Anolis sagrei: one gene and its partners. The protein of the gene in region 1 purifies or fractionates together with the protein of each later gene. This does not show direct contact. Links are inferred from orthologs where the notes say so. Each region holds a gene or a part of one and is shown on either strand. Other genes may lie near its edges. The genes, in order: FBXW7, SOX9, FMR1 and MED13.

Evidence for each region.
Region 2: the proteins of FBXW7 (region 1) and SOX9 purify together in Homo sapiens (affinity purification with western blotting; 4 studies listed by BioGRID and IntAct, with this or other methods). This does not show direct contact. The link is inferred for Anolis sagrei from reciprocal best matches to the Homo sapiens genes FBXW7 and SOX9.
Region 3: the proteins of FBXW7 (region 1) and FMR1 purify together in Homo sapiens (affinity purification with mass spectrometry, with the first as the bait; 3 studies listed by BioGRID). This does not show direct contact. The link is inferred for Anolis sagrei from reciprocal best matches to the Homo sapiens genes FBXW7 and FMR1.
Region 4: the proteins of FBXW7 (region 1) and MED13 purify together in Homo sapiens (affinity purification with mass spectrometry; 5 studies listed by BioGRID and IntAct, with this or other methods). This does not show direct contact. The link is inferred for Anolis sagrei from reciprocal best matches to the Homo sapiens genes FBXW7 and MED13.

Annotation. Positions count from the first base shown.
Region 1 is NC_090025.1:50,919,873-50,927,256, reverse strand, and holds the start of FBXW7 (F-box/WD repeat-containing protein 7), read left to right. Parts: upstream 1-4,371; 5' UTR 4,372-4,993; intron 4,994-7,384. UniProt on the Homo sapiens protein: Substrate recognition component of a SCF (SKP1-CUL1-F-box protein) E3 ubiquitin-protein ligase complex which mediates the ubiquitination and subsequent proteasomal degradation of target proteins.
Region 2 is NC_090022.1:134,370,100-134,377,173, forward strand, and holds the start of SOX9 (transcription factor SOX-9), read right to left. Parts: upstream 3,013-7,074; 5' UTR 2,408-3,012; coding exon 1,893-2,407; intron 1-1,892. UniProt on the Homo sapiens protein: Transcription factor that plays a key role in chondrocytes differentiation and skeletal development.
Region 3 is NC_090030.1:30,073,901-30,081,377, forward strand, and holds the start of FMR1 (fragile X messenger ribonucleoprotein 1), read left to right. Parts: upstream 1-4,456; 5' UTR 4,457-5,502; coding exon 5,503-5,553; intron 5,554-7,477.
Region 4 is NC_090031.1:31,483,907-31,491,072, forward strand, and holds the start of MED13 (mediator of RNA polymerase II transcription subunit 13), read right to left. Parts: upstream 3,022-7,166; 5' UTR 2,732-3,021; coding exon 2,666-2,731; intron 1-2,665. UniProt on the Homo sapiens protein: Component of the Mediator complex, a coactivator involved in the regulated transcription of nearly all RNA polymerase II-dependent genes.

The DNA of each region.
Region 1 (7,384 bases):
CATAGCCTCATTTCTTAAGAGTGGCTCAGCATCTCATTGTGCCAGAGCACAGTCTGTCCAGCACCTTCCAAGTCGCCCAGTCTTCTGTGTGCCCAGGAGGGAGTTTCTTATCTGATATCAGCCACTGATTGAGGTTCCGGGTTTTAACCTGCCACTTTTGGACTCTCGCTTGCTGAGGTGTTCCTGTGAGTAGCTCTGCAACTATTTCTTGACTTAAGACATTGATATGCTGGCTGATATCTGAACAGAGGATGGGCCTGAGATGTCAATGCCTTGGTTCTTTCATTACTGGCTGCTAGTTCCAGATTGATGTCAGGTGATGCAATGCCAGCTAAACATTGTAATTTTTCTAGCGGTGTAGGGCGTAGACATCCTATGATAATGCTGCATGTCTCATTGAGAGCCACATCCACTGTTTTAACATGGTGAGATGTATTCCGCACTGGGCATGCATATTCAGCAGCAGAGTAGCAAAGTGCAAGGGCAGATGTCTTCAATGTGTCTGGTTGTGATCACTAGGTTGTGCCAGTCAGCTTGCGTGTGATATTATTTCTAGCAACCACTTTTTGCTTGATAATTAGACAGTGCTTCTTGTAAGTTGGAGGATGGTCTAAAAGTAACTCCCGGGTATTTTGGTGTCCTGCAATGCCCCAGTGCTTCTCAGGTATAAGATTCTACAAGATTCCCTTCTATAAAAATAAACAGATCAATAAAAACTTTTCTTGGTGTCTTAGTTTTTAGACATGCATCTGGGGTTATTTTGGGCACTGATTAAACAAATTACATTGGATAGATCACATCAACTCTATTTTCTTTGATACGGTTATAGTGATTTTCCATCTATGAGCAGATGGTGACTGGTAGATGGCATATATTATGTATCTCAAAAACTAGAGTGGATGGGAGGAAACTGGTGTTATTTTTGTAACCAACAGGTCAAATATACCCAGAAACAACCAAAATATAACTTTGCATACCACTTTAAACAGAACTGGTTCACAGCCACAGAACAAAAACAGCTCACCTAAGAACTGAAAATTTGGAATTTTAGTCAGAGTTATCCTCAAAGGTCCACAGCCATCTTTATGTTCTACCTACTTTATCCTTCTCTCCTTACTGGTGTAATGTCTTCAGCTAAATTTTATAAACTCTAATTTTTGCTTAGTTTTACATTTTGGTGTGATTATTGGTCCCAACAGGCCAAGGGTCTAAAAATACATGCAGAAATGCTGAGCTGTGACACAACAGTATATCATTTTTGCAGAAGGAACAAATCAGTTTCCATAAGTGCTTGGAGAACACATTCTCCTCTCCACAGGATGACTCTCCATTGGGCAAACTTTACTGTGGAGCCAAGCAGCAGGCCAGCACTTCTCAACCTGTGGGTCCCCACGTGTTTTGGCCTACAACTCCCAGAAATCCCAGCTGTTAGGATCTCTTTCACACTAACTGACAGGTGCATGCAGTATTACATGGGTATTTTCCTTTTTGGCTGGGCTCTGTAATGTTTTAGAATAGATCATATTTGAAATTGGGAGACAGACCTGCCAAGATGAAAAGAGCACTTTCCAAGAACCATAGACAGTGATAAGGAGCATTTTCTTGGTTATCTCCTGCTTAATCTTTGGCCAAGTGAGTATTCCCCTTGTGATCGTACGTCCGAACATTTGGGAAAACTAGATTGTCTGACTTTACTCGGGGGTTAGCTGATACCTTCTTTTAAGATTAAGACCCTTAGCAGAGGAACTTTAGGCAAGGTGGAAAGATAATCAAAAGAGTTTACTGAAACAAGATGAATAAAGGATTAACTCCACCCAGGACTATAATAAGGAGGAGACTTTACCTAAACTACAAACCTCAGAATTCTGCAGGAGGCAAAAACAGGATTTTAAGTGGATTTTTTCTCTAGTGTGATTAAGTTTAAGGTAACATAATACATTACAAAAGGAGATTTTGCTGGTTGCAGTCATCTTTCTGGAATCTTTGAAAGTCTCTTGCCTCTGGTGCAAAGTGATGGTTATAAACTGTCTTAATCTTCCTTGTGAAGCTTAGGCTGGCCAAAAGCTTCTGTTGTCCTTTGGACTAATGGTATAAAATACTGCTAAATGCAGGTGCTAAGAATGTCTTTTTATTGATTGCTTGGCCTAGGATTACCAGACAATGCCCCAAGCCTCTAGTGTCTGTAGAGAAAGGAGGAGTTCAATAAGAGAGGAATAGGGAACTGGAATAGATCAACTAAGTCTGACCTCTGGGGGGGTGTAATGCTTTCTGTTAGCAAAAAGGCACAAGTAATAAATAAATAACTTTAATTATATCCCACCCTAGCTCCCCGAGGGGATCCTTTCCAAATTACTTTGAAAACTACAACTCCCATGATCCCATAGTATTGACCTATGGAAACAAAAAAGGTCTCAAACTGCATTAATTCTATGTAGCCATCATCCCACCACTGCTCAGTGAGGGATTGTTGTTGTTTATTTGTTCAATTGCTTCCGACTCTTTGTGACCTTATGAACCAGCCCATGGCAGAACCCCCTCTCGGCTGTCACAACCCCCAGCTCCTTCAGAGTCAAGCCAGTCACTTCAAGGATACCAGCCATCCATCTTACCCTTGGTTGGCTACTCTTCCTTTTGCCTTCCATTTTCTCCAGCATCATTGTCTTCTCTAAGTTTTCCTGTCTTCTCATGATGTGGCCAAAATACTTCATGTTTGCCTCTAATATCCTTCTCTCCAGTGAACAGAGGGGTTTTATTTCCTGAATTATGGACTGGTTGGATCTTCTTGCGGTCCAAGGCACTCTCAGAACTTTCCTCTAACACCACAGTTCAAAAGCATCAATCTTCCTTTGCTCGGCCTTCCTTATGGTCTAACTCTCACATCTGTAGGTTACTATCATTGCTTTAACTATGCAGACCTTTGTTGCCAGTGTGATGTCTCTACTCTTCACTATTTTATTGAGATTGGTCATTGCTCTCCTTCCAAGAAATAAAGGTCTTCTGTTCTCCTGGCAGCACTCTGCGTCTGTAGTAATCTTTGCCCCTAGAAATACAAAGTCTTTCACTGCCTCCACGTTTTCTCCCTCTATTTGCCAGTTATCAATCAGTCTTGTTGCCATAATCTTGTTTTTTTTAATGTTTAACTGCAACTAAGCTTTTGCACTTTCTTATTTCACCTTGGTTAGAAGGCTCAACTCCTCCACGCTTTCAGCCATCAAAGTGGTGTCATCTGCATATCTAAGGTAGTTAATGCTTCTTCCAGCAATTTTAACCCCAGCCTTGCATTCTTCAAGCCCTGCACATTGCATGATGTGTTCTGCATGCAAGTTGAATAGGTTGGGTGAGAGTATACAACCCTGCCGTACGCCTTTCCCAATCTGTTGTTCCATGGTCAGTTCGTACTGTTGCTACTTGGTCCTTATACAGATTCTTCAGGAGACAGGGAGGGACAGTCATTTTTAAAAGTAACTTCCCAAGTTCTCTAATAATGCTCTTTTCTCATGCTGTTCTCTTCAGCCACATCATATGTTCTTCTAAGGGCCCTTCCACACAGCCCTATATCTCAGAATATTAAGGCATAAAATTCCACACTATCTGAGTGTGGACTCAGATAACCCAGCTCAAAGCAGATATTGTGCCTTGATATTCTGGGATATAGGGCTGTGTGGAAGGGCCCTTTGAAGAACATATGGTGTGACTGAAAAGAACAGCATGAGAAAAGAGCATTATTAGAGAGCTTGGAAATGTACTTTTAAGAATGACTATCCCTCCCTGTCTCCTGAGGAATGTTTGATGACCAAGTAGCAACAGTACGAACTGACCATGGAACAACAGACTGGTTCAAGATTGGGAAAGGCGTTCATCAGGGCTGTATACTCTCACCCAACCTATTCAACTTGTTGTGTGGAAGAGGCCTTAATTGTCTGATCGAATTAAGGGGGGGGGGGGATCCTAGGAAAGTGTATTTCCTAAACTCTAGCCTTCCAGGAATTCTGAACTTCATCCCCCAGAATCCCTGATCATCGACCAAGGCAGCTGAGGCTTCTGGGAGTTGAAGTCCACCGACCTGGAGGACTATTCTGGGAATCGCTATAATCGAATCAACCGCGTTCGCCTACCGAGGGGAACGCGCAGGCGCGGAAGGGGTTAATATTTCCAGAGTCCAAATCCCCGACTGCGCCTGCGCAAGTCCTTGCGACGGGATTGGCTCGCCGCGTTGGCCTCTTCCAATCGCTTCACGGCGGCGTTTTCATCTCTTCTCCATACATTCCATAGAGACGCTGCACAGCCGTCGCAAAACCCTCGACGTCACCGCCTCGCGACGGAAACAGGAGGCGGGCGGAGAGGGCTGCGGTTGCCTGGTTACGGCTGGCGTCATTTCCCCGCGCCGTGCCTTGTCTTTTCCCCTCCCTCAGCGCCCTCGCTGCCTGTGTCTCTGTGGTGCGCGAGGGAGAGAAAGCGAGCGTCTCCGGAGCCACCCGCCGGCTTCCTTGCTTCCTTCCTTCCTCGCTGCCTCTCTTCGGGCGAGACCCAGTCACCCTCATGCCTGGGAGCCGGGCGGGAGCGCCGCTGAGCCTAGCCGCCGCCGCCGGGCTCCGCTTCCGCGCTGCCTCCGCCTGGCTGGGGCCCTAGCAGCGCCCGAGGAGAGGGTTTATGAGAGCCAGAGCCGGGCGGGGGCCGCGGCCCGACCCTCTCGCCGCCACCGCCGCCTCCTCCTCCGCCTCCCGCGGGGGGAAGCGGCGGGCAGCGCTCTCGGGGCAGAGGGGGCGGGCGCGGGCGGCCCAGGCGGCGTGGGAACAGGAGGCGGCGGCGGCCACACGCCCAGCCAGGGAAGCCGAACAGGAGGAGGAGGAGGGCCTCCGAGGGACCCGTCCTGGGCGCCTCCAAGCCTCCGGATCCCCGCAGGTCTGGGCGTGAAGCTCCTTCTCGGGCCCAGCAGGAAAGACCGCCGGGCGTCGCCGGTCCTGCTGCTGCTGCTGCTGCTCTCGCTCCCGAAGTGAGTAATTCTGAGAAAGGGATGTGGAAGGGAAGGGGAGTGTTCCCGGTGGCTGTTTTCGACCTTCCAGGAGGTGCACGTGGGGTGGACACTCGCCTCCTCCTCTTCCTTTTCCTCCTCCTCTTCCTCCTCCCCTTCTTTCTTCTCTTCCTCTACCTCCTCCCCTTCATTCTCTTCCTCGTCGTCGTTTTTCTCTCTTCCTCTTTTTCTTTCTTCCTCCTCTTTCTTCTCTTCCTCTTCCTTCTTCCTTCTCTTTCTCCTCTACCCCCTTCCATCATTTTCATTCTCCTCGTCTTTTTTGTCTTCCTCCTCTTCTTCTCGTTCCTTTTCTCTTCTCTTCCTCTACCCCCTTCATTTTCTTCCTCGTTCTCTTTTTTCTTATCCTCTTCCCCTTTCCCTTCTTTCTTATCCTCTTTCCCTTTCCCTTCTTTCTCCCTCCTCCTTCATTTTCTCACTCCTCTTTTTTCACCCCTCCTCTTATTTCTTCTCTTCCTCGTTTTCCTCCTCCTCATCCCTTTTCTCTTGCTTCTCCTTAGCATCCCCCCTTCATTTTGTTTCTAATTTTTCTTCTTTCGCTTCCTCCCCCCCCTTCATTTTCTCTCATCTTTTTTCCTCCTCCTCTTTCTTTTCGTCCCTTTTCTCTTTCTTCTACTCTACCTCCCCCTTCATTTTCTTCCTCTACTTTTTCTCTTCCTCCTTCTCTTCTTCTTCACCATCTTTCTTCTCTTCCTCTACCCCCTCCCCCATCATTTCCTTCCTCCCCATCCTTTTTCTCTTTATTCTCCTCTTCTTCATTCTTCTTTCTTCTCTTCCTCCTCCCTCTTCATTTTCTTTCTCGTCTTTTTTCTTTTCCTCCTCCTCTTTTTCTCCTTGTCCTTTTTCTTTCTTCTATTCTACCTCCCCCCTTCATTTTCTTTCTCTTCTTTTTTCTCTTCCTCCTTCTCTTCCTCTTCACCATCTTTCTTCTCTTCCTCTACCTCCTCCCCATCATTTCCTTCCTCCCCTCTTTTTTCTCTTTATTCTCCTCTTCTTCATTCTTCTTTCTTCTCTTCCTCCTCCCTCTTCATTTTCTTTCTCATTTTTTTCCACTTCTTCCTCCTCCTCTTTCTTCTTGTCCTTTTTCTCTTTCTTCTACTCTACCTCCATTTCTTCCTCTTCTTTTTTCTCTTCCTCTACCTCCTCCCCCTTCACTTCCTTCCTCCCCATCCTTTTTCTCTTTATTCTCCTCTTATTCTTCATTCTCTTCCTCTTCTTTATTATTATTTATTTCTATCCTGCTTTGCTCCCAAATTGGGACTCAAAGCGGCGAACAACAAATAAAAAGCAAAGACGTAACATACCATAAAAATAATCAGTACCAACATGAGCATAATCAAAAATTATAAAAAACCCACATCAAACTTAATTAGCATCTAACAAAAAAATAAAAACATTCAATAGATTAAAACCCCATTCTTTCGCTTTCTTCTCTTCTGTCTTCTCCTCTTTCTTCTCTTCCTCTCTTTTTTCCTCTCTCCCCTCCCCCACCATTTTTGTCTTCCTCCTCTTTTGTGGGGTAGGGAGAGGAGGGGGCTGCCCTGCTAAGCAACCTTAAGCACTTCAGATGGAAGACTGGAAGTTCTCCAGGTCCTTGCAGTTTCAGCTTCCATTTTATTCACTTAAATGTGTGTTCTAAAGTTAAATGGGTGTTTTCTCTGACCTCTTGTATGAAGAATCATGCAGGTAAAGTTCTGAATAAGAGGAGCACTCTGCAAGAACTCTTAGTGTGTTTGTTTGGAGTTTAATTTATCCAGCAATTTCAAATCTTTGATACATACAGTTTTCTAACCCCTTCATGCAAAATAGACTAAAGTCCCCATTTACCCTTTAATGCCATTTCAAATGAATGTAGAAGAAAGTGGTTTCACTGTGCAGATTATTCCATAGAAAATCCGGGAACCCGTTTGGGGCCTGGATAGTGATTCCACCAACCACATGAAGGGTTTTCTTTCACGTGCTTACATGGAAGTTTCTTGCCTATCCCTTGCAGTTTGAAGTTAGCTTCGGATTGCATTAAATGGTCAGTGTAGATGGGGGCCTCTGCCTCTTGTTTCATATGCGCCTCACGTTGCAGGGTTCTCTGCACGGTCTGCTGCGCTAAGTGACCCTCCCTTTCAGCCGGGAAATCTCTCTCTCTCTTTCCCCTCCCTTCCCTTGTCTCTTTGGGGTCAGGCGGAAACCATTGGTGTGTCTTGAGGGTTCTTTAAATGGCTTTGTTGGGTAGTTTAATGAGAAGAGAACTGGTCCAGAGAGCCAATCAAATGAGCTCGGACATAGTATTTGTTACCAGAGTCTGTCTCTTTCTCTCCCCCCCCTTTCCTTTTCTCAGCAACAGAAAGTAGTTTAGATTCT
Region 2 (7,074 bases), on another chromosome or scaffold:
CCACTTTAACAGCCATGGCTCAATGCTATGGAATCCTGAGAGTTATAATTGGGTGAGACACCAGCCTTCTTTAGCAGGGAAGGCTAAAGACTCCATGTTTCCATAACATGTCAGTTCAAGTGGTGTCAAACTGTTTCTTCTATGTGTAGCCCTTTTTAAGTTGCTGGGACTGGATTCCTAGGTCCCCTCACTAGCAGAGCCAATTGGAAGATAAGGTCATAATCATGGCCATAGTGAATACAAGTAGTGTGAAAGTATGTCAATTCTACAGTATGGATGCACAACCCCGGAGGGCTCCTCAGTGTGGATGCATTCCCTCTCCCTCCTCCTCTCATTCCTCCTCCAATCTCACCCCCAGAGTTGGCTGAGCTCTATGAGCCATAGCAACAAGTAATTCTAGATCAGAGCTTTCCAAACTGTGTGTCACGACATGTTCGTGTGTTGGCTGCAGCATTTAGGTGAGCTGCACAAATGTAAGGGAAATCTCTGAGTCTATGTAAAATAGGCACCAATTCATATATGTTTAAAAGATATAAATGAAAGGTTTCCATTAGATATGTGGTGTCCCCATTCAGTTTATTACTACAATATATGTATGTGTCCTTATCTTTTAGGAGAGGTGGGTTTACCCTCCAGCTTTCTAGTAAACCTGCACTACTGTGTCATGAAATGATGCATGCCTAAAACATGTTTGGAAAGCTCTGCTATAGAATGCATGAGAATGGTGTGCCCTAGAGTGCTCCTCCCCTTCCCACTCCACCCCAGTTTGCTGGGGCAATTAAAGCGGTGTCAAAGTGTGTTAATTCTAAAGTGTGGGTGCACAGCCACACCCCCAGTTTGCTGAGGCAGTTAAAGCAGTGTCAAAGCATGTTAATCCTAGACTATGGATCCACAGCCCTCCCCTCTGCCCCCAGTTTGCTGAGGCAGCTAAAGTGCTGTGAAAGCATGTGAATTCTACAGTGTAGGTGCTCTTCCCTCTCCCTGCTCTCCTTCCTCCCCCCAAAGGCTAGCCTCCAGAGTTTGCTGAAGAGCTTGCTGCACTCCATAAGCCATGCCACTTGAAATCAGTATGAAAGCATGTCAATTCTGCAGCATGGGATGCCTCTAGAGCAGGCCTGGGCAAGTGTTTTGGACTTCAACTTCCACCATTCCTAACAGACTCATGCCCCTTTCTTTTCCTCCTCAGCTGCTTAAGTGGGAAAGAGAAAGGGAGAAGGAAGGGGCCAGAGGAATTGTGGGAGCTGAAGTCCAAAACACCTGGCCAGAGTTTTCCCAGACTTGCTCTAGAGGGCTTCCCCTTCCCTCCCCCCTGCCCTCTGTCTCTCCCACTGCCATCTCCATCCCTGGTCTACTGGAGGGAATTATGGGAGCTGAAGCCCAAAACACCCATAGGGCTGGAGTTTGCCCATCCTGCTCTAGAGGGTTTCCCCTTCTCTCCCCACCTCTATCCAAGCAATCCTGGGCCACTCTCTAATCTCCGTCCCTAGTCTACTGGTGGGAATTGTGGGAGTTGGAAGGCCGGAGTTTGCCCATGCCTGCTCTAGAGGGTTCTTCCCCCTCCCCTTCCAGGCAATCCTGGATCTCTCTCCCTCTCCCATCTCCATCCCTGGGCTACTGGGTGCATCTACAGTGTAGAATGAATACAGTTTGACCTCACTTTAACTGCCATGGCTCAATGCTATGGAACCCTGGGAGTTGCAATTTGATGAGACACCACCAGCCTTCTTTAGCAGGGAAGGCTAAAGACCCCCTAAAACTACAGGGAGGGAGTGAGTTGTACTTTGGTGAGACCCCAGTTTTCTTTAGCAGGGGGAAGGCTAAAGACCCCTTAAAACTACAGGGAGGGAGGGGGGAAGGGGGGAAAGAGCCCACTCCGCCCGGCGCTTGCTCACCTCCAGAGCTTGCCCAGGGTCTTGCTGAGCTCGGCGTTGTGGAGGTGCGGGTACTGGTCGGCCAGCTTCCTCCGGGCGGCCTGGGCCCAGACCATGAAGGCGTTCATGGGCCGCTTGACGTGGGGCTTGTTCTTGCTGGCGCCGTTGACGCGGACGGGCATGGGCACCAGGGTCCAGTCGTAGCCCTTCAGCACCTGCGAGACGGCCTCCCGGATGCAGACGGGGAACTTGTCCTCCTCGCCGCCTCCAACGCCGCCGCCCCCTCCTCCAACGCCGGCCTCCTTCTTCATCTCGGCGTCGCCGCTCTTGGCGAAGGCGCCTCCGTCGGCGAGGCGGGGAGGGCGGCCCCCGTGGCTACTGCTCCCGCTGCCCTCGGCGTCGGAGCCGGACCCCGAGGGGCAGGGCGAGCCCGAGGAAGAGGCCTCCTCGTCGGAGAGGGCCGGGCTGGGCGCGCCCGCCGAGAGCGCCTTCTCCTGCTCGTCGGACATCTTGAGGAAGGGGTCCAGGAGATTCATGCGAGGAGAGAGAGGGAGGCAGGCAGGCAGGCAGAGGAGGAGAGGGAGAGGGGGTGGAGGCGAAGGGGAGCAAGGAGACAAAACAAAAAGGGAGAATGAAGGGGTGAAGAGGGCGCCTTTAGTTGCTGCAGCCGGCACGGCACGGCATGGGAAGAAGGCGCGAGGAGAGAGCCAGTCGAGCGGGGAAGACTCGGCCCACTCCGGAGCTCAAGAGGCGGGCATCGAATCCCCTCTCTTTCCCCTCTCTCCGCCCTTTCCCCAAAGTCCCTCCAAGCCTGGAGTGATCGTTTTCTCCCTCTCTTCGAAAGGGTTCCCTCAACCCGAGTCTCTCTCTCTTTTTTCCCCCTTTTGCAGGAAAGGAGAAGGGGGCTGGGTTAATTATTCTGATTCCCGCGGCTCTCCTCTCTCGTTTTCTCTTCACTCCTTTCCCAAAGTTCCTTCTCGCAAGTTTGGAGTGAAGGGGGAGAAAGGTAGGGCTATTTTTCCTCTTCCTCCTCCTCCTCCTCCTCTCTTCTTCTCTCCCTTCACACCACTTCTCTTCCAACCAACCACTGGGTTCCGAGCTCGGCTCTCCTCCGTCTCTCGCCTCTCTCTTTAATAAATACTCTCCTCGGCTATTTCACCTTAGAAAATCCCAGCCAATGGCGGCCCTGCTTCTCTAAGGCTGGCAAGGCCAGGATTGGCTGGAAAGTTTTTTTTAATTTCTAACTCCCCCCTCCCTCCCATCCCTTCAAAAGTTTGGGAAGGAGGGGAGAAATGAGCTCAAAAAAGGGAGGGAGCGAGAAAGAGAGAGAGAGAGAAAGGAGGGGGAAAGAGAAAGTCTGTCGCGCGTTGGACTTCCAAACGCTTCTTGTCCCTCCCGGGTCCATTTCTCTTTCTTTCCTATGTTGATCTAAGCAGATTTCTCTTGATGCTTTCAGAGCAAAGAGAAAAGGGCACCCAATCTCATTGAAGCCATGTCACCTTCGCCAATATTGCCTTTTTTCCCAGAAAGGGGGAAGGAAGAGAAAACAACTTTTCTGCTCTTTTCTGTCTTTCCCTCCATCCTTTTCAAAGCCAGTCTCTTGAAAAGGAGGAGGGAAAGGCAGAAAAGAGTGAATCACCTATTGTTATTCTATGGGAGGGTTTGTTTTGATTTTGCTCATCCCACTTCTCTTGCCATCCTGAAAAATGCCAAGAAGAAGGCAACACAAGGAAAGAAACATTTGGCGGTCCAGAATGCCTTAGGATCCTTCCACACAGCCATACATCCCAGAATATCAAGGCAGAATAATCCCACAATATCTGCTTTGAACTGGGTTATCTGAGTCCACACTGCCATATATTCCAGGGCCCTTCCACACAGCCATATAACCCAGAATATCAAGGCAGAAAATCCCACAATATCTGCTTTGAACTGAGTTATCTGAGTCCACACTCAGATAATGTGGGATGTTCTGCCTTGATATTCTGGGATATAGGGCTGTGTGGAAGGGCCCTTAGATTACACTATGTAACACCATTTATGTTCTTAGGTTATAAATTGATTGATTTCCCATATTTATATCCCGCTCTTCTCACCCTTGCAGGAGACTCAGAGCGGTGTACAGAATAGCAATATTTAATGCTGCATATTCAACAACATAAAATACATCAATGCAATGTCATTTCCTATTTGGTTCTATCATAAAAACATGAAAGCAGTCTACTAAACTGCAAAAAAACTTTGTCTTTGAGGGACACCTGGCAGCACATTTTACAATAGTTTTTCAATGGATATCTCATTGAGTCTGATCCAATTCAACATAGTTTGTGGCAGCCACAAAAATGAAGTTTCTGGAGCGTAACAGCTATTTTCAAAGTAAGTACCACACCATTAAACAGGAAATTTCAAACTAGGAACAGCACATTTCCTGATTTTTGTAATATAGTGTTATATATCCTCAAGCCACCTCCTTTCAAAGCAAACTAAAATGCCCATGTTGTGAACATAAAACAGTTCTAGGGCCCTTTCACACAGCCCTATATCCCAGAATATCAAGGCAGAAAATCCCACAATATCTCCTTTGAACTGGGTTATCTGAGTCCCCACTCAGATAATGTGGGATTTTATGCCTTGATATTCTGGGATATGGAGCTGTGTGGAAGGGCCCTTAGGGTCCAGAATGCCTTATATATCTTCACAAATGAAGTTGGATCTACTCTGACATATAATTCAGTTTGAACAATAGTGTAGATCCATCTTATGATGCTCATCTTTTGAATGTAAGGGACAAAGGTCACGATGGATTGCTACTTTATTTTTCAATGACTGCCATACCCTTCCCCTCAGGATATGTCCTTCTCCAGTACCCAATATTGAAACGTGATGTTTCGACTTAGCATGTCAACAATGGCTGTCAGGTATTTTTAGGTTAGAATTCCATCCTGACTTCAAATTTGGGCATGAGCTCCACTGAACCCATAAGGACAAATTTCCCAATAAATTCACCATAGTATTTCGAGTCCCTTTGGGAAAAAAACGTGTCTAAAAACGTTGATATCACAATTTGATAAAACACATGACCTCAATGCGCAAAATAAAAGCCCAAACCTGCAAATTTGGTTTATTGGGAAACTGTGCCAAGGCCAATGTTCCTTAAATAGCCAAGCTCTTGTCCTTGTCAGTCAGGGGGAATACATTTTCTTCTATTGCTGTGTCATTAGTAGTATTAATATTAGTATTTTTCAGGGTCACTCTCAGAAATGTATATGGCTAGGGGTCAGGCTTGGTGTGTATTATTTTAAATTCTAATTCTACAGATTTTGGGACTTTTCAACATCTCCTGGGCAGCATTGTTTTAAACTTGGGGATGAGAAGGAATGCCAATGAATATAACCTTTAGATAAAATGACAGGTTTAACAAGTAACCAAGGCCGTCTTCACTGCCATATCATGCAGCTTGAAAATGCATTATATAGTCAGTAAAGACTAGGCCTCGACAAACTTCAGCCCTCCAGGCGCTTTGGACTTCACTCCCACAATTCCTAACAGCCCCAGGCCCTTCCCTCCTGAGGTTGTTGGGAATGGTGGGAATTGAAGTCCAAACACCCGGAGAGCTGAAGTTTTGCCTAGGCCTGGTATAGACTCATATAATGAAGTTCAGTGCATGATATGGGTCTTCTGACTTATGGCGTCCTAGATGGGGCCTTGGTTAGCTGTGGCCAAAGGGTGGCGGGGGCGGGAGAGAAATGGCCATCGCTCGGGATGGATTCAGTCTTGTGATGATCCCTCTTTCCTTTGGACTGGAGACGTGACGCGTGGGTTGCCTCGCCCGTCCCACGCACGGCCCCGCTTTGGCAAGGACGGAGTCCGCTTCCCGCCCTGCAAACCCCTTTAAATTATTAGCTGTCATGTCGCCTTGCCTAGGAAGACAGACGCCACGCCACGGCTCGGCTTTGTTTTGCTTTGCTTCCCGTGCGCTTTTTCCACTCGCTCCTCGCAGCCTCGCCTTGGCACTTTTTCACAGTTACCCCTCTCTCTCTCTCTCTCAATAGGTCACCTTTCCTGCCATTCCCGCATCCGTCCAGAGGGGGCAGCATAGGCTCAGAAACGGGCGCCAGAAGCGGGCCGGAGCGCCGCGCGCCGTCCAGGCCGGGGGCGAAGGCGCCGGCATCCGCGCATGTGAGCTGGCACGCGCGGAGGTTTAGCACAGATTTCGGCATTCCCGGTGGGGACCCCTCTCCCTTGTCACCAGCCGCAAAGTTACACCAACCGGGAGTGAAGATATAAAGCTTCACTCTCAACTTTCTGGATAAAGATCTCAAAGGGATGCTATTGGAGACCACTTTGACAGTCCTGGCTCAATGTTATGGAACTCTGGGATTTGTAGTTTGGTGAGGAACGGGCACGATTTGGTGGAGAAGACTGTGTCAAACTACAACTCTCTTGGTTCCGTAACTTTGAGCAATGGGAGTTAAAAGTGGCGTCGAATGATGTTTATCATTCTACAGCAGGTCTGGCCAAACTGGGCCCTCCAGATGTTTTGGACTTCAACTCCCACCATTCCTAACAGCCTCAGGCCCCTTCCTTAGCGGCTGAGGGGGAAAAGGAAGGGGCCTGAGGCTGTTAGCAATGGTGGGAGTTGAAGTCCAAAACATCTGGAAGGCCGAAATTTGCCCATGCCTGTTCTAGAGTGTAGATGCACCCAAACACTTCCAGGAAATGCTATTTGGTTCATGAACGGGCGCGCGTGGCAGACATCGCCTTGCTTTTGCTGTTGCCTTTGTAGTGAAGGGAGAGAAAGCCGTGCGCATGCGCGAGTCTAGCTTCCCGCCTTTCCCTCCGAGAGCCCGAGCGTTCTAGGGAACGGCGCGCTGCCCTCCCGACGGCATCACCTTGGGAAGAGCCTTCTCCGCGCATGCGCTTTCAAGTCGGACTCCAGGGGTGGTTCGAAGCAGCTGATCAAGATGGCGGGCCCTGGCCTTGCTTGGCTGGCCCCTTCCTCAAAAGATGCTTTAAAAATAACAATGAACATGGCGTTTTCCACGCAGCTGAATGAAATCCCCCATTGTCTGTTTTGAACTTGGATATATGGCGGTGTGGTCTCAGATAACTCAGTTCAAAGCAGATGTTGTGGGATTTTCTGCCTTGATATTCTGGGTTATATGGTTCTGTGGAAGGGCCCTTCGAGATAGTTTAGGAAAGC
Region 3 (7,477 bases), on another chromosome or scaffold:
TTAAATATAAAAACATTCATATAAAAAAATTCAACATAAAAAATTCAACATAAAAACATTCAGCAGTGACTATGGCAAAATTTGATCCGGTTACTTAAATGCACAGCCAAACAGCCAAGTCTTGAGCGCCTTTGCAAAAGGTCGCAACTCCGACATTGCTCTAATATATGAAGGCAATGAGTTCCACAGAATTGGAGCATTGATCGAAAAAGCTCTATGCCTTGTAGTTTCCAAATGTGCCTCCCTAGGACCCGGTATGTAGAAGAGATTTTCCTGGGTGGATCGAGGTGACCACTGATGGGGAAAAGGAATGAGGCGGTCCCTAAGATATAAAGGTCCTTGGCCATTTTGAGCTCTCAATGTCAGGATCAGTATCTTGTAAGAGATCTGTTGTTCTATTGGTAGTCAATGCAGTTGTTGCAGAATCGGTGTAATATGAGATCTTATAGATGATCCTGCTAGCAGCCTGGCTGCCACATTTTGGACCATCCGAATCTTCTGGGTCGTTGACTTCGGAAGGCCAGCATATAAGGCATTGCAATAGTCCAACCTCGTGGTGACTGTTGCGTGGATTACTGTTGTCAATGCTTCTACCGAAAGGTAGGATGCCAATTTCCTTGCCTGGCGAAGATGAAAAAAGCCCTGCTTACTTATGGCAGTGATCTGGGCCTCCATCGTCAGCTATGAGTCCAACACAACCCCAAGGCTTTTAACAGTGGCAGACGGAACCAGAGCTTCCCCATCGAAATCAGGCAGAGACTGGGTTAATTCTGGTGGCTGGCCGGCCAGAGTATCTCAGTTTTTGCAGGATTGACTTTTAGTCTGCTTGCTCGTAGCCAACTCATCACTGCTTCCAAACACAGCTTAAAGTTCTCAGGAATCGCAGTTGTTCCAGGTTCGAGACGCAAGAGTAGCTGGGTATCATCTGCATACTGGTAGCACTCTATGCCAAAGCTCCGCACCAGTCCAGCAAGTGGTCAGATGTAGATGTTAAATAACAGGGGCGAGAGGATAGCACCCTGGGGAACTCCACAGCAAAGGTAGGAGCTTTCAGAGCTTTGGCCTGGCCACTCCACCCTCTGTGTCCAGTCCCGGAGGAATGAATTGAACCAAGCTTTTTCACTTTTAGAACAATGTACTCCTCTGTTCTGGGATTTACCGTTTTTCAACCACACTTGGCACACTGAACTCCCATGAGCAACAGATAATACTGGAAGGGTTTGGTGGGCATTGACCTTTCGTTTCGGAATTGTAGTACACCTACATCCAGAGAACACTGTGGACTCCAGCAATGATGGATCTGGACCACACTTGGCACGAATATGAAAACAGATAGACTTTGGGGAAAATACACCTTAACATTTGGGAGTTGTAGTCCCAGGGATTCAGTGTTCACCTACAATCAAAGAGCATTCTGAACCCCACAAACGACAGAATGGGGGCAAACTTCCCACACAGAACCCTCATGACCAACAGAAAAAACTTTACCCCATCCACTACAACTCCCTTCACCAGGGCAAGATAACGCAATCACAGTCCTCCTGACAAAGAGCCATCCTCCCATACATATGGATAGATGCATCTATCTATATATAAATGCTCTGTGCATAAGGAGTACCTTAAAAACAAAAGAACCAATGAACAAATTCACTCCAAATTTGGCAACAAAAGGTCTCACAACATAAGGAGTGACCATCACTCAAAAAATTATGATTTTGTAATTTGGGAGTTGTAGGTGTTGGGATTTATAGTTCACCCACAATGAAAGCGCATTCTGAACTCCATCAACGATGGAATCGAACCAAATTTGGCACACAGAACTCAAGAAAACGTAATCAAAGTCCTCCTGACAAAGACCAACCAGCCATAGATAGATAGAGATAGATAGATATGATTCACACACACAGAGATATAGTATCGTAGATTTATTTATTTACTTTGCTTGTATACCGCAGTTTCTCAGCCCGTAGGCGACTCAACGCGGTTCACAACAAGAGCAAAAAGTCAATCCAACACATACAATATTTAAAAACCATTAACAGCATAATATACAAATAATGACACATCAATAACAACACATTAGCGTCTCGTAACTAGAATCGTGATCCAAATCGTCATCCATAATACCGTTTCCTATATTCATCATATTCATTGCATTGTTTATCCGAACGCCTGTTCAAACAGCCAGGTTTTTAGTTTTCTTCGAAACACCATTAACGAAGGGGCTGATCTAATGTCCATGGGAAGGGTGTTCCACAGCCGAGGGGCCACCACAGAGAAGGCCCAGTCCCTCATCCCCGCCAGCCGTGCTTGCGATGCAGGCGGGATCGAGAGCAGGGCCTCCCCAGAAGATCTTAGAGTCCTGGTGGGTTCATAGGCAGAGATACGATGTGAAAGATAGATGTGAAAGATCTCGCGCGAATAGGCGACAGAATGAAGGGGGGGGAGTCTACGCGCCTGCGCAGTCGCCCCAACTGACTGGTCTCTCGCTCACTACCTCCCTCCCGTCTGGCGCTATATATCGCAAGAGTTTACAGTGTATCTATCCTTCCTCGTCCTCTCCTCCTCGTAATCTCGTGCGAAGAGGTGACAGAATGGAGGGAGTCGGGAATCGTGCGTCAGTCTGTGCAGTCAGGTGAAAGACAGATGTGAAAGGGACCCCTAAAGAAGGACAATAATATGTTGCATGTTCCAGAGTAGGCAAACCAGACAATCTCCACATCAACACTGACAAAGAAACAAGAAGAAATACTGTTTACCCACAAGCAGAAAGACATTACATATATTAGAAATCAAAAGAACCAATGACTCATTACTTTATTTTCCAGATCACCAAACTGGGCCACAGCAATGCGTGGCAGGGTCAGCTAGTTTTCTACAAAAATGGCCATTACTTCTGTAACCACATGCTCTGCTTGGCGAATGATTGCCGCTCTGCATCCTTTTCAGCTGAATCGCTAATAAACCTCGGTGGCACTTCTTTCAACTTGGTGAGACCTTTTACTGGGAAAAATCAGGGATTGGGTGCTTCTCTGTCTCGCCAGGGAAAAAGAACTCTTTGATGAGTCTAATTGGTTTCTGCCTCCTGGCAAAGACCCCTAATTCCTGCTTTGATTCTATGATTCTATGAAGGGGCCTGAGGCTGTTAGGAATGGTGGGAGTTGGAGTTCAACACTCCTGGAAGGCTCAAGTTGGACCATGCCCTGTGCAGACACTAAAACTCAAAGGGCCACCAGTGCGCATGCGCCTGCTCCTTCCTCCTCGAACTTGGTGGAAGCGCCTCACTCCGCGCTGGGCTGCAGTCCATGCCTGGGCGACAGAGTCTCGCGTTATTTAGCGAACATAGGGATTCTCCCCGATTCTGTCACCTCTTCACGCGAGATTACGCGGAGGGGAAGGCGACGGAGTATATACACTGTGTGTGTCTCGCGATACTTAGAGCCAACGGGAGCGAGAGTGTGAGCGGGTGACCAGGGTTGACCCGGCTTTTAGAGCGACTGCGCAGGCGCGGGCTGGCGGACTCCCCTATTATGTCACCCCGTCGCGCGAGATTACGCGGAGGGGCGTATACATACTGTGAATATACTCTCGCGGTACCGAGCGAGTGAGCCTGACTGCGCAGACGCACGATTCCCTACTCCCTCCATTCTGTCACCTCTTCGCGCGAGATCACGAGGAGGAGAGGACGGGGAAGGATAGACTGTTTTAACTCTCGCGATATATAGCGCCAGACGGGAGGGCGGTAGTGAGCGAGAGACCAGTCGGTTGGGGCGACTGCGCAGGCGCGTAGACCCCCCCTCATTCTGTCGCCTATTCGCGCGAGATTACGAGGAGGACAGGACGAGAAAGGATAGACACTGTGTATACTCTCGCGATACTTAGAGCCAGACGGGAGGTAGTGAGCGGGGAGGGCAGGGAGTATAGACGCTGTGGGTATACTCTCGCGAGACTTAGCGCCAGACGGGAAGTAGGCGTGTAGACTCCCCACTTCATTCTGTCACCTATTCGCGCGAGATTACGGGAGGGAGAGACCAGAGCTAACCCGTCTGTTGCGGCTACTGCGCAGGCGCGTATTCAGACTGCCCCACTCATTCTGTCACCTATTCGCGCGAGATTACGGGGAGGAGAGGACGAGGAAGGATAGATACTGTGTATACTCTCGCGATATTTACCGCCAGACGGGAGGGAGGTAGTGAGCGAGAGACCAGTCAGTTCGGGCGATTACGCAGGCGCGTAGACTCCCCCCCCCTTTCATTCTGTTGCCTATTCGCGCGAGCGGAGGGCAGAGAGTATAGATGCTGTGGGTATACTCTCGCGAGACTTAGCGCCAAACGAGAAGGAGGCGCGTAGACTCCCTCCTTCATTCTGTCACCTATTCGCGCGAGATTACGCGGAAGGGACGGCAGGGAGTATGAACACTGTGGGTATACTATCGCGATACTTAGCGCCAAACGGGAGGGCGTGAGAGATCAGAGCTAACCCATCTGTTGCGGCGACTGCGCAGGCGCGTAGTCAGACTGCCCCACTCATTCTGTCACCTATTCGCGCGAGATTACGGGGAGGAGAGAACGAAGAAGGATAGACACTGTGTATACTCTCGCGATTCTTAGAGCCAGACGGGAGGGAGATAGCGATAGACTTATCTGTTGGGGCGACTGCGCAGGCGCGTAAACTCCCCCCCTCATTCTGTCGCCTATTCGCGCGAGATTACGGGGAGGAGAGGACGAGGAAAGATAGACACTGTGTATGCTCTCGCGATACTTAGAGCCAGACGGGAGGGAGTTAGCGAGAGACTAGTCTGTTGGGGCGACTGCGCACGCGCGTAGACTCCCCCCTCATCCTGTCACCCATTCGCGCGAGATTACGCGGAGGAATATAGACACTGTGGGTATACTCTCGCGAGATTTAGCGCCAGGCGGGAGCGGGAGGGAGTGAGCGACCAGGGTTGACCCGGCTGTTGCGGCGACTGCGCAGGCGCGCGCTGTCCGGCCCCGCCCACCGCCGCTCGCCCGCCATTACGGCCTTCTCCTCCGCCGCCGCCGCCTCACGTGAGGGCGCCAGGCCTTTCATGTGGACACAGCGGCGCTCCGCCTCCTCCTCCTCCTCTTCCTCCTGCTTCCTCGCCGCCGCCCGCCAGCCTCTCTCCGCCCTCCTTCCAGGCCTCGGCCGCGTTTTCCCGCCGCGCTCCCTGGGCCTCCGCGGGCCACGGCGACCACCACGACGCCCAGCCGCGCCGAGGAGGAGGCCAAGAGGAAGGAGCCGCCGCTTCCTCCGCCGCAGCCGCCGCCGCCTCCCGCGCCCCGTCCCGCGCTGCGCCGCCGCCACCTGAGGGACGCCGAGGCCGGGCCCAAGAAGGGCGGCGGGGCGGCCATCACGACGGCGGCGGCAGGGGGGCGGCTAGGCCGCGGGGGCGGAGGGGGCGGCGGCGGGCCCCCTTCCTCCTCCTTCTCCGCCGCCGCCGCTTCCTCCGCCTCCACCGCCGCCGAAGAGGACGACGACGACATGGAGGAGCTCGTGGTCGAGGTGCGCGGCTCCAACGGGGCCTTCTACAAGGTACGCCGCCCCCCCTCCCTTCCTTCCTTCCTTCAAAAAGTCCTTACCGGGAAGCATTAACAAGAAGGCGGGATTGTAGGTTTGTCGGGCTATATGGCCATGTTCTAGAAGCATTCTCTCCTGACGTTTCGCCTCCACCTAGAACAGTGGTTCTCAACCTGGGGGTCGGGACCCCCAGAGGGGTCTCCAAAGACCATGAGAAAACATAGTATTTTCTGAGGGTTCTGTGTGGGAGGTTTGTCCCAATTCTATCGTTGGTGATGTTCAGAATGCTCTTTGGTTTAAGTGGTCCACGCTCCTGTTACATCCTGAATAGACTACTGCAACGCACTCTACGTGAGATTGCCCTTGAAGACTGTTCAGAAACTTCAACTGGTCCAGCGAGCGGCAGCCAGATTGCTCACCGGAGCGACATACAGGGAGCACACCACCCCCCTGCTGTTTCAGCTCCACTGGCTGCCGGTTCAGTTCCGAGCACAATTCAAGGTGCTGGTTTTCCCCTACAAAACCCTGTATGGTTCCGGTCCAGTGTATCTGTCTGAACGTATCTCCCTCTACGTCCCACCCCGGAATTTGAGATCATCTGGGGAAGCTCTGCTCTTGACCCCACCGCTATCCCAAGTGAGGCTGGTGGGGACGAGGAGCAGGGCCTTCTTAGTGGTGGCCCCCCACCTGTGGAACTCACTCCCGGGGGAAATTAGGGCATCAACATCCCTCCTCTCCTTCAGGAGGAAGGTAAAGACGTGGTTATAGGACCAGGCCTTTGGGCAATCTGACAACTAGATAAGGACAACCAGACGAATAGGACTGACAGGACTGACAATTGTGGAATTGGAAATTGAACTATGAGGTAGCGAACACTGACCGTCAATGAGGAGAAATTGGTTTGTATTGGTTTAAAGGTTATAATGCAAGAATTGTTGTTTAATTGTTAATTGATGTTATTTGTTTTATTGCTGTTATGTGATGTGGGCATCGAATTGTGCCTTGCTTTTGTAAGCCGCCCTGAGTCCCCTTCGGGGTGAGAAGGGCGGGGTAGAAGCAACCGAAATAAATAAATAATAAATAAATTATAAATCCCTGCAACTACAACTCCCAAATGTCAAGGCTTACTTTTCCCAAACTCCACTAGTGTTCACATATGGGCATATTGAGCATCTGTGCCAAATTTGGTCCAGATCCATCATTGTTTGTGTTCTTTGGATGTAGGTGAAATACAACTCCCAAACTCAAGGTCTATACCCACCAAATCTTTCCAGTATTGTCTGTTGGTCATGGGAGTTCTGTGTGCCAAGTACAATTCAATCATTGGTGGAGTTCAGAATGCTCTTTGATGGTAGGTGAACTATAAATCCCAGCAACTACAACTCTCAAATGACAAAATCAATCAATCCCCCCTAAACCCACCAGTATTCTAATGTGGCCGTATCAGGTATTTGTGCCAAATTTGGTCCAGAGAATGAAAATACATCCTGCATATCAGATATTTACGTTATGATTCATAACAGTAGCAACATTACACTTACGAAGTAGCAACTAAAATAATTTTATGGTTGGGGGTCACCACAACATGAGGAACTGTATTAAGGGGTCGCGGCATTAGGAAGGTTGAGAAACACTGATCTAGAAGCATTATCTCCTGATGTTTCACCTGCATCTATGGCAAGCATCCTCAGAGGTTGTGAGGTGTGTTGGAAACTACCCTACTGGGGTTTATATACGTGTAGAACAGTGCTCACGGTGGGAGAAAGAGCTCTTGTCTGTTTGATGCTGTTTGTTGGATGCTGCAATTGATCACCTTGATTTTTTTTATTTTCTATATTTATATATTTATTTACAATATTTGTTTACGATATTTGTATACCGCTTTTCTCACCCCGAAGGGGACTCAAAGCAGTTTCCACATAGGTAATGGCAAACATTC
Region 4 (7,166 bases), on another chromosome or scaffold:
GGTCACAAAATAATTTGTTTCTCTTATGACAAATGTCTGTGAACTGTAGCCTCAACCTCTATTCCATTCAAACCAGTGGTTTTGATTATTCAAGTCCATTCTAGAATTACAAAGCATCAAAGAGCACATCACTACTTTTTGGCATCCTGTTGAATACCCCCATATTGAAAATGTGTATTCTGAGAGTCTAATACATTCCTCAACATTAACTGACCCACCTTCAGATAGGTCGTTTACTGTCAGAAGTAATAACAACAACCCTGAAGCAAATAATTTTTGGAGTCAAGAATTCTGCTGAAAAATGACAACCACTGAAAAAAATAACAACTGTCCTTATTTCTGGTGGTGCAATGGGTTAAACCCATGCGCCGGCAGGACTGAAGACCGACAGGTTGGAGGTTCGAATCCGGGGAGAATGCAGATGAGCTCCCTCTGTCAGCTCCAGCTCCCCATGCAGGGACATGAGAGAAGCCTCCCACAAGGATGGTCAATCAATCAAAACTTTATTCCAGTTCATGACCAGCACAAAGTGTATATACAAATCCAGATCACAATATTGGGACCCAGTCCCATAATTCACATCCAACCCAAAGGGTTGTAGACTTCAAACTCCAACAAATTTTGAAATCGAAGCTAAAAACCAATGCAAGAAGTTATTAAAACTTAACATCAAAACATCTGGGCAACATCCTTGCAAACAGCCAATTCTCTCACACCAGAAACGACTTGCAGTTTCTCAAGTCGCTCCTGACACACACACACACACACACACACAATAAAAATAAAATTCCCTTCCAGAGAATCTCTAAGAAAGATCTAGTTTTCAAAAACACCCTGTTGGGACAACTTTAGGTAATTTTAACTACAACCCAAGTCATTCAAGACAGCTTAAACAAATATTTCTTGCTCTCCTCCATCCAGAAACACAACTTTTTGAGAAAATCACAAATACTAATGGTAATGTTTCAACCAGTCTCGGTTTTGGTTTGTTTGTAAAGCAAAGGGAGCAGCAAGTTGCAAGCAGGGCTCAGTCCAGGGTTCAACTTCACCACCCTGCGATTGGGGAAGTGCATACTCCACTTCTTTTGCAGACAATGAAGGATTTCCTGCTTATTTAACTCCAATAAGGAAGCTCCCACTACACTAGCTCTATCTGCAACGGTTTATGTTTTTGGAAAGGGGGGGGGGCTGGGGGACATAATACATTAAACACATAGGCAACCCCATGGGAGTAGGTCAGTTTTGTGATCCTGCAGAACATACCCATAACTACACATAAGCAGATCAATTTCATTATATTCCACTTCCAGGATTAAATAACACCAACCAGTCAAAATCTGCTACCAATTTGCATTAAGGGGGGGATCAGACAGAGGTCACCAAAACCTAGACTGGGCAGGAAGTTCAACTGGATCCTAACTCAATTAAGACTGAACTGGCTCACCTAACAACAATAAACAAACCAACAAATAAAGACATCAAGACAAGGGTGCAATGTAAAAGAAAGGGTTGCTACTCCCATTCATCTGTAAGTCGAAAAAGCAAAATCTCCAAATTGGATTGTTGTGAGTTTTCCAGGCTGTCTGGCCATGTTCCAGAAGCATTCTCTCCTGACGCTTCACCCACATCTATGGCAGACGTTTTGAGGTCTGTTGGAAACTAGGCAAGTGAGGTTGATATATCTGTGGAATGATGTCCAGGGTGGGAGGCAAGTGTGACTGTTACCAAAGGCCACCTTGATTAGCATCAAGCTGTTCGAAACTAGGAAAATGCTTCTTCAGGAGAGAATGCTTCTGGAACATGGCCATACAGCCAGGAAAACTCACAACAACCCAGCGATCCCAGCCGTGAAAGCCTTCGACAATAAATCTCCAAATTCCAGTGAAGGGATTTTGCCGACAACCCCCCAAGACCTCTTGTGTCACTTTCACAGTTTGGTTTTCCTTGTTATTTCTAAGGAATCAAGCAAAGTTGGCCTAGTAAACAGAAAATGCATTTTGGTGTGTATTTTTTTTGGTATGTGTATGTGGGTTTTTTTTGGGGGGAGGGGGTGAAAAAGCTGAGGAAAAAGTCACTATCAAAAAGACACACCCGAAATCTTTGTATTAGGGAAGACAGGCCAGAAATGAAAGAGGTGAAGGAGCGTGGAAAAAAAATGGAAGTTAGGAGGAGAATCGAGAACAAAAACAACAAAAGGAGAGAGAGAAGGAGGCAAAAATATAAATCCGAGGAATGGTGGCAAAGCGAAGACCAATCAGGGAAAGAAAAACAAGGGCTGGTGTACATGTACACAAATATGTGCGTGTGTGGATCTAGACATGTGTGTACACAGAGGGAGCTGGAAAAATGTCTGGCAAGGCCTACTCCAGCAGGAGCAATGCTAAAAATGGCTGCTCGCTCGCTCTCCTATTCACTCCCCTCCTTCCCTTGCTTTCCTTTCCTTTCCTCCCTTCTGCTGGTGAGCTCTCCTCTCCCTTCTTCTCCCTCCCACCCCAGACTTTCCCGTCCACCAAGGTTTATCTCTGATCCGTAAAACCTTTCCTCCTCCTTCTCCTCCTCTTCCCCCCCTTCCTTCAACCTCCACCATCATCCACCCTTTGGGTTGATTCAAATCGCCCCCCAAAACCCACCCCGAAAGGCTCCCAAGAGCCACACACCGACTCACCAGACAGAATAGGTTGGAATGGCAATCCTCCAGGCTGGCCCCGTTGGGTACGAAGCAAGAACTCATCCTCACAGCCACAACCCACACGCCATTATCCCACAAGCCTCCGACAAGAAAGAAAAGAGACAGACAGGGCGAGAGAGAGAGAGAGAGGAAGGCACACAGCCTGAGAAGGGAGGGACACACAGCACACTCTCGCACACACCAGCCAGCAAGGGAAAGGGCCCCCTTTTTTTCCTTTTTTAAAACCCACACAACCACAAGAAGAGCCCAGGGAGGAGTTTTCGGAGGGGGTTGCACGGTGGCGTGTGCGCCACAGCACACAAATAGATCGGGATAAATAATAATAATAATAATATCTATTTATTATTTAATGATATCAAATACCAGGGAGGGGAAAGGAGAGGAAGAAAGGAATCTTCTTCCTCTGAGGAGCTCAATTTCCGAACCCCAAAGAGATAAATAGAGAGGAGGTTAGAGAAAGGAGGCTGGGGTTACTTCAAGGCGAAAAGGAGGGGGGCAGAAATGGGAAAAAGGGGGGGGGGAGAGAGAAAGAGAGAAAGAAAGACACAAATAATCCAGCGATTGAAAGGCGGGTGGGAAATAAATCCAGGAATCTCTGTCTCTTTTTCCTCCTCACGAGCAGAAATGCAATATATGGGATCAAATGGTCATCTTGAGGTTTTTCATCTTGGAGAGGAAGAAATGCAGCAGATTGTTCTTTTTTCTCCCCCTCCCCTTCTTCTCGTCTCTCTCCTCAGCCAGACATAGACATATTTTCAGTTAAGTCAATGAGAAGGGGACAACTTTCTAGTCTGGTATCTCCTCGATGGGTTGAATGTGGATCAAACGTTCCCCTTTGCCCCAAATTTAATTTTTTTCCTTCTCCCAGAAGGTGGGGAATTCCTGTTTGCGTAAAGTGTCTTCCAAAGTTTCCAATAATTCAAACTTGTGGCCCAATCCAGAGGGGTCTGTAGGGTGGGAGTTTCCTGATGCAGCGGTGCGAAAGGAAGAGGGTCTGACCCAAAAGAAGAGAATTCCAAGGAAGAAAGGTTTGCTTTTGGGTTTGGGAAGTGCAAGGCCTGAACTTCAAGACCCCCCAGAGACACTGAAAAGATGCAAACACTCCTCCAAAAAGAAAAAGTTCTGATTTTTCTGACACTGTAGTTGAACAAAACTTCTGCTTCAGGTTGTTGACAGAACCTTTCGAAAGGAAAAACAGCCAAAAGAAAAGTTTTGTTTCTCCCCTCTTGTCAAGTCCACACTGGAGGGTCCTTTTTCCTTGACAGGAAAAAATGGGGAGAAAGAACTTCTTTCGAAGGGAAGAAGAGAAAAAAACAAAACACCTTTTCCTCAAAATCCCAAAATTAATTCCTCGGCAGAAATGACAAAATCCCTTCTCCCTTGTTCACTTCCTTCTGATGTCTGCTTTTTTCTTCCCCTGAACCAAAATAGGGGTATTTTCCAATAATTATAATAATGACAATAATTTAAAAAGGCGCGGAGAATGAAAGAAATAGAAGATCAAGACGAATCCGTTGGGTCAATCTGCTAGGCCAGAAGTCTCTGGATGCTTTTTGTTGTTGAAAGAACCACCAAAGAGTCCTTATATTCCCTTCTCCTTCTTTAAATGGACTCACGAGAAAAGAGAGGAGGTGAGAAAGTTAGACAAACAGGAGCAAGGAGCTTGTCTCTTTTCCTTTCTAGAGAGAGAAGATAATTCTATTTCAATAGATCAAAATGGCGTGGAATTGTGGAAGGATGTTTATGTATAAATATAAATGTCTCTAGGTGCCTCTCTATGGAAGCTCCCTTCCTTCTTTCCTCTCCTAAAAGGGATTCTTTTGGGCCTGTATTCTCTTCTTGTTCCCAAGAGGTGGTTTTCCAAGTGAGAAAGTTCAAAACAAACCGGAACGAGGAGCTTGTCTCTTTTTTCCTTTCTAGAGAAGATAATTCTATTTCAAGAGATCAAAATGAGGTGGAATTGTGGAAGGAAAGGGTTCTTGAAGACGTTTATGTCTATAGGTGCCTCTCTATGGAAGCCCTCTTCCTTCTTTCCTTCCTTCCTCTCCTGAAGGGATTACTTCAGGTCTGTGTTCTCTTCCTGTTTCCAAGAAAACACAGGGGGTGAGAAAGTTCTAGAGCGGAGGGAGAAGGTAATTCCACACCCCGATGTATCAAAATGCTGTGGAATTGTGGAAGGAAAGCTTTCTTGAAGATGTTTAGGTCTATAGGTGCCTCTCTAGGGAAGATTTCTTCCTTTCCTTCTCTTCTCCTGAAGGGATTCTTTCAGGCCTGTGTCCTCTTCCTGTTTCCAAGAAAAGGCGAGAAAGTTCAAGAAATCAGAACGAGGAGCTTGTCTCTTTCAAGAGCAGAAGAAGGTAATTCCACACCTCGATGTATCAAAATGGTGTGAAATTGTGGGAGGAAAGGGTTCTTGAAGATGTTTAGGTGCCTCTCTAGAGAAGCTCCCTTCTTTCCTCTCCTGAAGGGATTCCTTTGGGCCCGTGTTCTCTTCCTGTTTCCAAGAAAACACAGGAGGCGAGAAGATAATTCCACACCCCGATGTATCGAAATGTTGTGAAATTGTGGGAGGAAAGGGTTCTTGAAGATGTTTAGGTCTATAGGTGCCTCTCTAGGGAAGCCCTCTTCCTTCCTTCTTTCCTCCCCTGAAGAAATTCTTTCAGGCCTGTGTTCTCTTCCTGTTTCCAAGAGGAGGTTTCTCAAGTGAGAAAGTTAAAAGCTTGTCTTTTTTTCCAGAGCAGAGGGAAGAAGGGAATTCCACACAGCGATGTCCCAAAATGGGGTGAAATTATGGAAGGAAAGAGTTCTTGAAGATGTTTAGGTGAGCTCCCTTCCTTCCTCTTGTGGAGGGATCCTTTCAGGCCTGTGTCCTCTCCGTTTCCAAGAAAACACAGGAGGAGAGAAGGGAATTCCACACTCCGATGTCCCGAAATGGGGTGAAATTGTGGGAGGAAAGGGTTCTTGAAGATGTTTAGGTGCCTCTCTAGGGAAGCTCCCTTCCTTCCTCTTCTGGAGAGATCCTTTCAGGCCTGTGTTCTCTCCCTGTTTCCAAGAAAACACAGGATGTGAGAGGGTAATTCCACACCCCGATGTCCCAAAATGGGGTGAAGTTATGGAAGGAAAGAGTTCTTGAAGATGTTTAGGTTCCTCTCTAGGGAAGCTCTCTTCCTTCCTCTCCTGAAGGAATCCTTTCTCTCCCTGTTTCCAAGAAAACACAGGAGGTGAGAGGGTAATTCCACACCCCGATGTCCCAAAATGGGGTGAAGTTATGGAAGGAAAGGCTTCTTGAAGATGTTTAGATCTATAGAGTTCTTGAAGATGTTTAGGTCTATAGGTGCCTCTCTAGGGAAGCCCTCTTCTTTCCTTCTTTCCTCTCCTGAAGAAATTCTTTCAGGCCTGTGTTCTCTTCCTGTTTCCCAAGTGAGAAAGTTAAAAGCTTGTCTTTTTCCAAAGCAGAGGGAAGAAGGGAATTCCACACCGCAATGTCCCAAAATGGTGTAGAATTGTGAGAGGAAAGGGTTCTTGAAGATGTTTAGGTGCCTCTCTGGAGAAGCTCTCTTCCTTCCTCTCCTGAAGAGATTCTTTCAGGCCCTGTTTCCAAGAAAACACAGGAGGTGAGAGGATAATTCCACACCCCGATGTCCCAAAATGGGGTGAAATTATGGGTTCTTGAAGATGTTTAGGTGCCTCTCCAGGGAAGCTCCCTTCCTTCTTTCCTTCCTCTCCTGAAGGGATTCTTTCAGGCCTGTGTTCTCTCCCTGTTTCCAAGAAAACACAGGAGGAGAAGGGAATTCCACACCCCGCTGTCCCAAAATGGTGTGGAATTGTGAAGGTGTTTGTGCCTCAGTATCAGTGTCTATAGGTGTGTCTCTGAGGAGTCTCTCTCTCCTGCTCGCTTTCCTCTCCTGAAGGGCTTCTTTGGGGCCTGTGCTCCCTCTCTTCTTCCTGACAGGAAGCCAGGCCGCTCTCCCCTGACAGGTAGGCAGAAAGAAAGAAGGGCCTTCCTCCTTTTCCCCTCTCCTCAGCGGTGCCTCTGCTTGCGGCTGCCCAGCCTCGGCATCCTGAGAGGTGGCTTCTCCTCCTTCTCCTCCTTCTCCTCAGCGAGTCTCTCCCATTCTTCCTTCGGCAGCTGAAAAGGTTGACAAACCAAAAACAAGGGTGAGGGGGGGGGGTTATGAATCAATCTCCCCTCCTTCCCCTCTTCTCAATCCCTTCCCAAGGACTTACTCTCCTCCCTCCTCCTCAGAAACAAGGCCTGGATCCGAGGATGATGAGGATGATGTGATGTTGCCCTCTCTCTCTCTCTCTCCCTCCTCCTCCTCTCCCTCCTCCTCCTCCCTCTTGTCTCTTTCTCCTCTAATGGCGGCCAAACAGCAGGCCAGCGTCGTCGAGAGGGGGAAATCGCGCTCCCATTGGCTGCCCTCCTTTTCTGCCTTCGCCTTCCCGCGCCGCCCATTGGAGGAGCGCCCTGTCACGT